Saccharomyces cerevisiae S288C: one gene and its partner. The protein of the gene in region 2 purifies or fractionates together with the protein of the main gene of each other region. This does not show direct contact. Each region holds a gene or a part of one and is shown on either strand. Other genes may lie near its edges.

Region 1 (4,605 bases), on a different chromosome or scaffold from region 2:
TGATTTTGAAACATATTTAAAGGGTGAGACGGAAGATCAAGAGTTCGACCATGTCCATTGCCAACTGAAGTACTATCCACCCTTTGTCCTGCATGATGCGCATGATGATCCGGAAAAGATCAAAGAGACTGCCAATTCGCACTCTAAGAAGTTTGTTCGCCATTTACACCAGCATGTTGAGAAGCACCTGCTAAAGGACATCAAAACCGCTATCAACAAGCCAGAATTGAAATTCCACGATAAGAAAAAGCAGGAATCCTTTGACCGGATTGTTTGGAATTATGGCGAAGAAACGGAGTTGAACGCCAAGAAATTCAAGGTGTCTGTCGAAGTTGTATGTAAACACGATGGCGCAATGGTAGATGTTGATTACAAGACAGAACCCTTGCAGCCACTCATCTAAGTTTGGGGAGCTGTTTTTATGAATTAACGAAATTTTATGAATTTACGAAATATAGCATGCTATATAAAATAATTTATATGCGCATGTATTTTGGTGTGCACCTTCTTACTGGAGTGTATACAAGTCTACAAATCAACACATGTGGTTTTTTTAATGTTTTGTCGTCACAACGCGACCTTAAATAAAAGAATTCCACGCTAGATTCATGCTACTATCACGAACAATACGTACCAATTAAGCTTTCTTGGTGTAATAAAAAAAGAGAAATGTACACACCACCATGATTCCGTTTACGTCTTGCTTTTCTACTTGTTTCGCTCATGGGTTCTCATCAGCTCTATTGTGTGTGCCCTCTTTGTAGATAATTAAACACATTGAAAAAAAAGAAAACGAAAAGATGGCACACGGCTTGGTCATCGAGTGAAGAAATGAAACTTCAAAAAAATTGCCGGACACTTAAACCTTAACGAGTTATACAGAACCGTATCCAGACCTGGAGCTGGGCTATAAGAAGAAGCGACAATATGGTATACTAAATTTCTGGACTCGTAGTCACTCAGTCTGTTTGTCAGTAAGTCACGTAGACCTGTATCGGCAGTAACTATGGTATTTTTTCCAGATTAATTATTATACGATGTTGTTACTTCGATAAGGTCACAACAGGTTTTCCATTGTTGAGAAACTGACTTTGATTATTATTTAGTTAGTAGGCAACTGTCATGTTGCAACCACAACAAGCAACAATCCTTTCACCATGACTATTATAAGCGGCCGGCAAAATTGCCGGGAAAACTGCCAGGGATATAATGCAACCTTCATTTGAGCACTTAAAATAGAAGATAACGTTGGTAAACCCCCCTTGATAGTGGACACATCCTACGTAGATCTCTCTACAGCCAAGTCGTATATATAGCAGCAAATTGCAACCAACCACATGGGACATAGGAATGAGTGGTTTTCTCAGACCCTGAACGTGACCGTCCATCATGAATTTCTCCACAGTTTTTCAAGCAATAATCGCGGTTTTAGGTTTAACTACAGTCACAGCTTTAGCAGAATTTGATTTCGACGTAGGCTATGAAGAGTTTGTCCGTACCAATCCTGATACGATTTTCTTAGAGAGTGATATTGGCCTGCACGTTGGATATACCGAGGGTGGCGAACGACAGATAGCAACGATACCACACAATTCCACGCTAGGGACTTCACTACGTGAGTATAGTGGCTGTGGTGGTAATGGTACAGAAACCTCCATCGCTACCCCCGCACCTACAATGAGTGAGGTACCTATCGCTACCTTCGTGAAACGTAGAAAAAGTGTACCTATCTTGCTACCGCAGGTATGTATGTGAAGAGTTGGTGAATTTTGAGATAATTGTTGGGATTCCATTTTTAATAAGGCAATAATATTAGGTATGTAGAATGTACTAGAAGTTCTCCTCGAGGATTTAGGAATCCATAAAAGGGAATCTGCAATTCTACACAATTCTATAAATATTATTATCATCATTTTATATGTTAATATTCATTGATCCTATTACATTATCAATCCTTGCGTTTCAGCTTCCACTAATTTAGATGACTATTTCTCATCATTTGCGTCATCTTCTAACACCGTATATGATAATATACTAGTAACGTAAATACTAGTTAGTAGATGATAGTTGATTTTTATTCCAACAGTATGGGAGGTATATGAACCCCTACAACCACTCATTTAGAAGTGGGGGACTGTAGTTCTTTTATGAAGTAACGAAATTTTATGAAGTAACAACAAATGTTGTTAATTGTAATCTTAATAATCTAACATTTAATAAATCTTGACCTTAGACTTTTTTGTCTATTCATAATATGCTGATATTACTTTTCTTAAATATAAATATAATCTATATAATATTATTAACGAAATGTAGGAAGCTAAAAAAAAAAAAAAAAAAAAGAAAGAGACTTTTATGCGTATATTTAGGTACCCCGGTACTTACTTCTGTATATATAAATCAGTGAATCAATACATATTTTTTTTTAATGTTTTGTCCTTATAACGCGACTTATTCAAAAGAAAAAAAGAAGTCCCATGCAAAAATCTTGTCATTATTGCGAATGGATATATCAGTGAGACCTTTTTAAGGTTGTAGGGAAAAGGAAGTACGCTTCATTACAATTTCGTTCATGTCTTGCTCGCCTACTTGTTTTGCTCATAAATCCCATCAGCACCATTGTATGCGCCCTTCGTAGGAAATTAACGCATCTGAAGAAAAAAAGAACTGCAAGATAATGACACACAGCACGGTCATCGACTGTCGAAAGGAAACCTTAAAAAAGTAATCGGCACCTCAACCTTGATGAATTATAATCTATCCAAGTATCCAGACGACGTGTCGAGACTTTTCAAGCCAAGGCCACCTTTATCTTACAAAAGACCAACCGATTACCCATATGCGAAGAGACAAACAAATCCAAATATCACTGGCGTTGCAAACTTACTATCAACCTCTTTGAAGCACTATATGGAGGAGTTTCCTGAAGGATCTCCAAACAACCATCTCCAAAGATACGAAGACATCAAACTTTCCAAGATCAAAAATGCTCAATTGTTAGACCGGAGACTACAAAATTGGAATCCTAACGTTGACCCTCATATCAAGGACACAGATCCCTACAGAACGATATTTATTGGGAGGCTACCATACGATCTTGACGAAATTGAACTGCAAAAGTATTTTGTTAAGTTTGGCGAGATCGAAAAAATTAGGATAGTCAAGGACAAGATAACCCAGAAGAGTAAAGGCTACGCCTTCATAGTTTTCAAAGACCCAATAAGTAGTAAAATGGCATTCAAGGAGATTGGAGTACACAGAGGTATCCAAATCAAAGACAGAATCTGCATAGTCGACATAGAAAGAGGCAGAACCGTTAAATATTTCAAGCCAAGAAGATTGGGCGGCGGCCTAGGAGGCAGAGGCTATTCCAACAGAGACAGCAGGCTTCCAGGAAGGTTTGCAAGCGCAAGTACATCAAATCCCGCCGAAAGAAATTATGCTCCCAGGCTGCCACGCAGGGAAACTTCTTCCTCCGCATATAGCGCTGATAGATACGGCAGTTCCACATTGGACGCGAGGTACCGTGGAAACAGGCCATTGCTCTCCGCCGCCACTCCTACTGCTGCTGTTACTTCTGTATATAAATCTAGAAACTCACGGACTCGAGAGTCTCAACCAGCTCCCAAAGAAGCGCCCGACTATTGAATATAAGTAATACTTAAACTCTGCTACTTGTTGTCTATGATTACCCGCACATCAGTTAATTTGGATACTTTTTTCCCTTTCTCAGACTTTGCCCCTATAACAAAATAAGAGAAAAACAGCCCGCATTTAACACAAGATACTATAGCAAAGGAGACCAGAGAAGACTCAACACAACACACGCGAACGATCAAGCAATGGAAGCCGATTGGAGGAGAATTGACATCGATGCATTTGATCCAGAGAGTGGCAGACTAACCGCTGCCGATCTGGTACCACCATACGAAACTACTGTCACATTACAAGAATTACAACCTCGAATGAATCAATTGCGCTCGCTTGCCACAAGTGGTGACTCTTTGGGAGCCGTTCAATTACTCACAACCGATCCTCCATACAGTGCAGATGCTCCAACAAAGGAGCAATATTTTAAGAGCGTCCTTGAAGCATTGACACAAGTCAGGCAAGCCGATATTGGTAATGTAATCAAAAATTTGAGTGATTCTCAGAGGGACGTGCTGGTAAAGTATCTCTACAAAGGAATGTCCGTACCTCAGGGCCAGAAACAAGGGGGTGTCTTGCTTGCGTGGCTGGAAAGAATTACTCAAGTCAGTGGTGTCACACCTATCGTTCATTATATATCGGATAGAAGAACTGTATGATACTCTGCCCAGTAAAACTTAGTATAAAGAAATATACATATATATACGTAATTTTAAGGGTCGCGTTTGTTATATGCTTTTACTTCAGGCATTTCGCGGTGATGTAGGTATTGAGTTTTTTTTTAAAAAAATTGACATTGTTTGGCGAGGTTGAAGATATAAATGCCTGGATTTTAAAAAGCTCAGTTGCTACTCAAACCAAAATGTCAACAAATCAATTTGCACAAAACAAGTACGCATAAACTTTGAGAGCATGAGTGAGACCAATGGTGGCAATGCAGCCAGGGAAAATTCTGAG
Region 2 (6,800 bases):
CAACAGGCAAACAGTTCCGTGTTACGACTTACAAAAATAACAACACTCAGAAAGATATCACCTCAAACTTCTGCCCTCTAGCTACTATATCAGGTATTGAAGAAACCCTTTGTTTATTCGGCGTGTTGTCGACTATTTTTTTCTTAAATTTTCATCACATATACAAATAATATCACTGTTAACGAGTAAGGGTAACGCGAATCTTCCATGACCAATAAAGGGAAATACTGGTTATAATACGTAAATGATAGTAAACAATTTGAATTGGAACAATGAATATATAAAACAAGGACTACACGGAGGAATCCCTTCCAAGAAAGTAAACTTTGGTCCAGTCCATGGCAATTAAAATCCTATTCCTGATAGAGAGACACATGGCCAAATAAGCGGATTTCCAAAACAAGAAGGCAAACATACCTTTCAACTGGTATGATGAGTCGCCCATATGCAAATCTGCAATTGCGGTTTCAGAGCCGATGTACGCAAGGGCACCCATATGCTTGTAGTTGAACTTATCCAACTTAGATTTCCTCAAATTAACCTCTTTTTGTAGACGTGATACCTCAGTTTCATCGGTACTGTTGAGCATGTCCCATTCCAATTGTTCTATCTGTAATTTTTTATCCAAGATCTTGGCCAAGTATTCGCCTTCCTGATGTGCAACTTGTGCCGTGGGAAAGAAACCCGTGTGTGCGGTACAATCACCAATTGCATAAATCGAATTCTCAGAACCGAGAAGCTCCAACTTGTCATTAATTAACAGACCACGCCTATTAGTTTGCTCCGGTATTCTACTCATCAGTGTCTTTGAAAAATCGATTGGTTCATTTCCCGTGGCCCAAACCAGCATCCCGTATTCGATATCCGTGTTTGTTTGGCCGTTTTGCAGAGTGCGTATATAGGTTGGCTCTACGACTTTCACGGCAGTATTCACTTGCAAGTCAATTTCATCTCTGGCAAAAAGGTCCTCGGCATACTTGATCAACGTCTTATCGAACATGTTTAGGATATTAGGCAGGGCTTCAATTAAGATAACCTTCATTTCTTTACTTAAGTCGGGCATCCACTTCCTCAAATCTTGATTGATGTAATCTTGCAGTTCGGCGGCAAATTCAACCCCCGTAGGGCCCCCTCCAACAACCACGAACGTTAATAATCGCTTCCTTTCCGGATCGTTCACAGGAAATGAACTTGCCTGTTCTATGGTTTTCATTAACTTCATACGAATATTTTGAGCATCTTCAATCTCTTTCAAGAAGTTAGCATTGCCATAGACCCCGGGAATGTTAAAAGTAGTGGTTTTAGCGCCTACACTAACAACAAGATAATCGTAACTTAAGCTCGAAACGAAATATTCGTCCTCTGACACCGATTGCACCATTACTTTTTTGGCCTTTGGATCAACGTCCAACGCTTCCGCCTCAATGTAGTGAACTTCTCCAGGCGTTCTTCTAGCGATCGATCTAACCGGTTCGACAATAGACTTCATCTCTATCGTACCCACAGGCGTTGAGGGTAATAACGGTGTGAACAAAAAGAAGCTTCTTGGCGACACCACGGTCACGTTATACAAAGACGTGTCTAATTTCTTCAAAAGAGATATGGCGCCCCAGCCTGTACCCAAAATAACCAGCTCCTTCTTTTTCAAACCATTAGCAAAAGCGGTCGATTGGGGAACCTGTTTGGGTGGGTTCGATTCTTTGTACAGCTCGTATGACACATACAATGTGCCGGCCAACGTCGTGTAAAAGGTTAACTTTAAACCTCTGACAAACCATTTCTTGAATACCGCAGTGTAAGATTTCGATAGCTTCTGCTGTGGTCCGGGCTTACCAACTTCAGTGGAATGGAAAAAAGGTTTAGAGATCTGGGTCATCTTGAAACGGTGTATGGACCTAGCAGTCCTCGCAAAACCAAGTCTGGGCAGCATCTATACGAATGGCAAGTACGGTGGTTGTTTTTGTCTTTCTACTATGTTCCTGGTACAATCCCCGCAAGATGGGTTTACCTACTGGCACTGATATACCTCTTATATACGCAGGTCAACAGCGCACTCCAAAGGGAGGGGCTGACTTATTAGGGGAGGCCTGTAGGCTGTAGAGAAACCCTTTAAAAAATGAAAAAAAAAAATGGGGAAACAAGTGTCAGAGATGATCTGCTACTGTGACGCATCGATATTAGTATATCTATCGGCACTAAGGAACGCATGACAGGTGTACGCAATACCGCACTCTGGGGAATGACTAAAATAGAGACATTTTCGGCGTTTATGCGTATTATAAACGGTACGAGCGGTTGAATTTACCCGGCCATCCGGGCTCTATTATTTCACTCAAGATCACTTCTTTTGTCTTGCCATGGCAACGTTTCCATATTTTATACAGTATTGCTGAAGCATTTCTAGCAATACCAACAAGATCAATACTACACAGAGCAACAAATTACGTCGCAAGACGATACATCTTTAACAATGGCTAGAGGTAATCAAAGAGACTTGGCAAGACAAAAAAACTTGAAAAAACAAAAGGACATGGCTAAGAACCAGAAAAAGAGTGGTGATCCTAAGAAAAGAATGGAGTCAGACGCCGAAATCTTGAGACAAAAGCAGGCCGCCGCAGATGCTAGAAGAGAGGCTGAAAAGCTTGAGAAGTTAAAAGCCGAAAAGACGAGAAGATAAGCAGACACTTTATACCTGTCCTTTTATTGGAATGAATAGTGCCAGTAGTTTCTTACGTATAAAGTACTTTATAAACAGCTGTTATGTTTTTTGTCCTTTTTAGTTACCTTTTTTTTATTTTTTTTTTATTTTTTTTTTTTCTTTAGTTAATTAGAACGCTTTCCTATATTGTGCTTCTTTTTCTTTTTCTTATTGTTATTTAGTATATAGCGTGTACAGAGTGAAGATCTTAACAAACGTGCTCCAAAGGTGTATTGTCATCGACAAATTCACCCAAATCGATTCTCAATTTTCTGTTGAACTGCTCGAACAAGAAGCCGAGACAACTTTGAGTGATAGCGGAGTCGAACCTGCCCTTGCTGAACTCGTCACGGATGAACGCATGCTGGGCAGCCAGGATTTCCAAGAACGTAAACTTTACTCCGTGGTCTCTGAGGGTCTTTCTGATTAGATCGCGGCCTTGCGGGTCGACATGGGTGTCCGCAGTTCCGAAGATCAAAACCATTTCTTGGTTATTACCCAACTCCTTCGAAACACGTTCCAAAGAGTTATCGTTCTGGCCAAGACCTAAGGTTCTGGAATGGATGTCGGTAGGGAAGAAGCAGGTTGCGCAGGTAACCCTTTTGTCCAGGAGCGCTCTAAAAGCCAAATGGCCACCTAAACACATTCCTGTGGAACCAATTCTCTTACCATCGAATTGGGGTAACTGGAAAAGTAGATCGCAACACAGTTTGTTGTCCTCATCGTATGATTCTAACGGCTTCTTGATCTTGTACTCGTTACCAATATCGGTACCCTGCACGTCATAGGGCAACGCTTCAGGGCCCATAAAGTTGTGGTATATGGCAGGTGCCACCACAACGTAACCTTCAGACGCAATTCTTTGACCAAAACGACGAACCGGACCCGTCACTTGGTAAATTTCACTGTACAGAATCACCCCAGGAAACTTAGCTTGTGGATAGCCTGCAATCTTAGGAGAATATACGTATATACGCAGAGTGGTGCCGTATGATGTCTGCACATCATGAAAGGTCTCAGTAATCAACATTGTTTGCTTTATCTACTACCACGAGTTTATTACGGCGTCATTTTCAGTCTGACCCTTCTTTTATATAGTTTCTCCTAGTGAGGTTTTTCCGATAAAATTTCTTCCTGATCTTCACAAAGCATCCAGCAAAGTAGGAAAAAAGCTGAAAACCCGACGAAGGGTACTTGTTGAAAGCCATTGAGGTATTGATGGTTGGTGGTAGTATGCTATCTGAAGATAGGCCACATGATTTAGGTAAAGGAGCTGGCCATCGCTAACTGACTAGTCGTATTCTTCCACATCATGGCAACTTCCTTAATGTATTACCCGAATAACCGCCGAAGCCTCAGGCATTAGAGAAGAAAGAAAAGAACAAAAAGTTATACTACAAAAGGCTCTACACTCCCAGCAGAAAGCTGCCAACTACCGTCAGAATGTCAACTATGTCAACGCCTGCCGCAGAACAACGCAAACTCGTCGAACAGCTGATGGGCAGGGACTTCAGTTTCCGCCACAACAGGTATTCGCATCAAAAAAGAGACCTCGGACTACACGATCCCAAGATCTGCAAGTCATACCTTGTTGGCGAGTGCCCCTACGACCTGTTTCAGGGCACCAAGCAGAGCCTGGGAAAATGCCCGCAGATGCATCTTACCAAGCATAAAATTCAGTACGAGAGAGAGGTCAAGCAGGGCAAAACGTTTCCCGAATTCGAAAGAGAATATCTGGCCATTCTATCTCGGTTTGTTAATGAGTGTAATGGCCAGATATCCGTAGCACTACAAAATCTAAAACACACCGCTGAGGAACGAATGAAGATTCAGCAGGTTACCGAAGAACTAGATGTCTTGGACGTGCGGATAGGCCTAATGGGACAAGAGATTGATTCTTTAATTCGTGCAGATGAAGTCAGTATGGGTATGCTACAGTCAGTCAAATTACAAGAACTGATTAGTAAAAGGAAAGAAGTTGCAAAACGTGTACGAAACATTACAGAAAACGTGGGCCAGAGCGCCCAGCAAAAGTTACAGGTTTGCGAGGTGTGTGGGGCATACCTATCGCGTTTAGATACAGACAGAAGGCTTGCTGACCACTTCTTGGGGAAGATTCATCTGGGATATGTCAAGATGAGAGAGGATTATGATCGGCTAATGAAGAATAACCGGACAACTAACGCCAGCAAGACAGCTACTACACTACCCGGAAGACGCTTTGTGTAGGGCCATACATAAAAAAATGATGCTAGAAAAATTTTGTTCGAAGGAGAGTACTTATGAAAGAAGAAAGGTTTGTGAATATCACACACATACCTCTGCATAGTTTATTTCCCGATAAGGTAGACATATCGTTTCCCTATCTATTTAAGTTTTTTATTCGCTCTCTTTTTTTTTTTTTCTCTGTAACCTGAAAACAAGGAACGGCAAATTAAAATGTTTGGAATACGTTCAGGCAATAATAACGGTGGATTTACTAACCTCACGTCGCAAGCACCACAGACAACCCAGATGTTTCAATCGCAATCACAGTTGCAGCCACAACCGCAACCGCAACCACAACAACAGCAGCAACACTTGCAATTCAATGGATCATCCGATGCAAGTTCTTTACGATTTGGAAACTCACTTTCCAATACTGTAAACGCCAATAACTATAGTAGTAATATCGGTAACAATAGCATCAACAACAACAACATTAAAAACGGCACAAATAACATAAGCCAACATGGCCAAGGGAATAATCCTAGCTGGGTGAATAATCCTAAAAAGAGATTCACTCCTCATACGGTGATAAGAAGGAAGACAACAAAGCAAAATTCTTCTTCTGACATCAACCAGAATGATGATTCATCTTCTATGAACGCTACTATGAGAAATTTCAGTAAGCAAAATCAAGATTCCAAGCATAATGAAAGAAATAAGTCTGCGGCAAATAATGACATCAATTCTCTGTTGTCAAATTTTAACGATATTCCACCCTCCGTTACTTTACAGGATTGGCAACGCGAGGATGAATTCGGTTCTATTCCATCATTAACAACTCAGTTTGTTACCGACAAATACACGGCGAAGAAAACAAATAGGTCAGCTTATGATTCCAAAAATACTCCAAATGTTTTTGATAAAGACTCTTATGTTAGAATAGCAAACATTGAACAGAACCATTTAGATAATAATTACAACACCGCCGAAACAAACAATAAAGTCCATGAAACATCTTCCAAGTCTTCTAGTTTGAGCGCAATTATCGTATTTGGCTATCCTGAATCAATTTCCAATGAATTGATTGAACACTTCTCCCATTTCGGTCATATTATGGAAGACTTTCAAGTATTGCGATTGGGTCGCGGGATTAACCCCAACACCTTCAGAATATTCCATAATCATGATACAGGCTGTGATGAAAACGATTCTACTGTTAATAAATCTATTACTTTAAAAGGCAGAAATAATGAGTCGAATAACAAAAAATATCCAATATTTACTGGTGAAAGTTGGGTCAAACTCACTTATAATTCTCCATCTTCTGCTTTGAGAGCACTGCAGGAAAATGGAACCATATTTCGCGGTTCTTTGATTGGTTGCATCCCATATTCAAAAAATGCGGTGGAGCAATTAGCTGGCTGCAAAATTGATAATGTCGACGACATTGGAGAATTCAACGTTTCTATGTATCAAAATTCCTCCACATCGTCGACATCTAATACACCATCCCCACCAAACGTAATAATAACTGATGGCACTCTTCTGAGGGAAGACGATAATACTCCTGCCGGTCATGCTGGTAATCCAACAAATATTTCAAGTCCAATAGTAGCAAATTCTCCGAATAAGCGGCTGGATGTAATAGATGGCAAATTGCCATTCATGCAAAATGCAGGACCGAATTCGAATATTCCTAATCTGTTGCGAAACCTAGAATCGAAAATGCGTCAGCAAGAAGCGAAATACAGAAATAATGAACCTGCTGGTTTTACGCACAAACTGAGTAATTGGTTATTTGGTTGGAATGACCTATAACAGAAATCGTCCAGCTAATTATTCATGAACATTTACAATACTTCATACATTTATTATTTTGATAACTTTTCAAACA

The links. Proteins that work in one complex are often made in the same cells at the same time.
Region 1: the proteins of LUC7 (region 2) and SNP1 purify together in Saccharomyces cerevisiae (affinity purification with mass spectrometry; 5 studies listed by BioGRID). This does not show direct contact.

What each region holds. Positions count from the first base shown.
Region 1 is NC_001141.2:243,700-248,304, reverse strand, and holds SNP1 (U1 snRNP complex subunit SNP1), read left to right. Parts: upstream 1-2,745; coding exon 2,746-3,648; downstream 3,649-4,605. Other genes in the region: RGI2 (Rgi2p), read left to right, coding at 1-403; YIL059C (uncharacterized protein), read left to right, coding at 1,390-1,755; YIL060W (uncharacterized protein), read right to left, coding at 1,479-1,913; ARC15 (Arc15p), read left to right, coding at 3,843-4,307; YRB2 (Yrb2p), read left to right, coding at 4,561-4,605. UniProt on the Saccharomyces cerevisiae protein: Involved in nuclear mRNA splicing.
Region 2 is NC_001136.10:298,341-305,140, reverse strand, and holds LUC7 (Luc7p), read left to right. Parts: upstream 1-4,141; coding exon 4,142-4,927; downstream 4,928-6,800. Other genes in the region: NADH-ubiquinone reductase (H(+)-translocating) NDE2, read right to left, coding at 293-1,930; YDL085C-A (uncharacterized protein), read left to right, coding at 2,471-2,677; YDL086W (carboxymethylenebutenolidase), read right to left, coding at 2,907-3,728; FG-nucleoporin ASM4, read left to right, coding at 5,138-6,724. UniProt on the Saccharomyces cerevisiae protein: Component of the U1 snRNP particle, which recognizes and binds the 5'-splice site of pre-mRNA. Together with other non-snRNP factors, U1 snRNP forms the spliceosomal commitment complex, that targets pre-mRNA to the splicing pathway.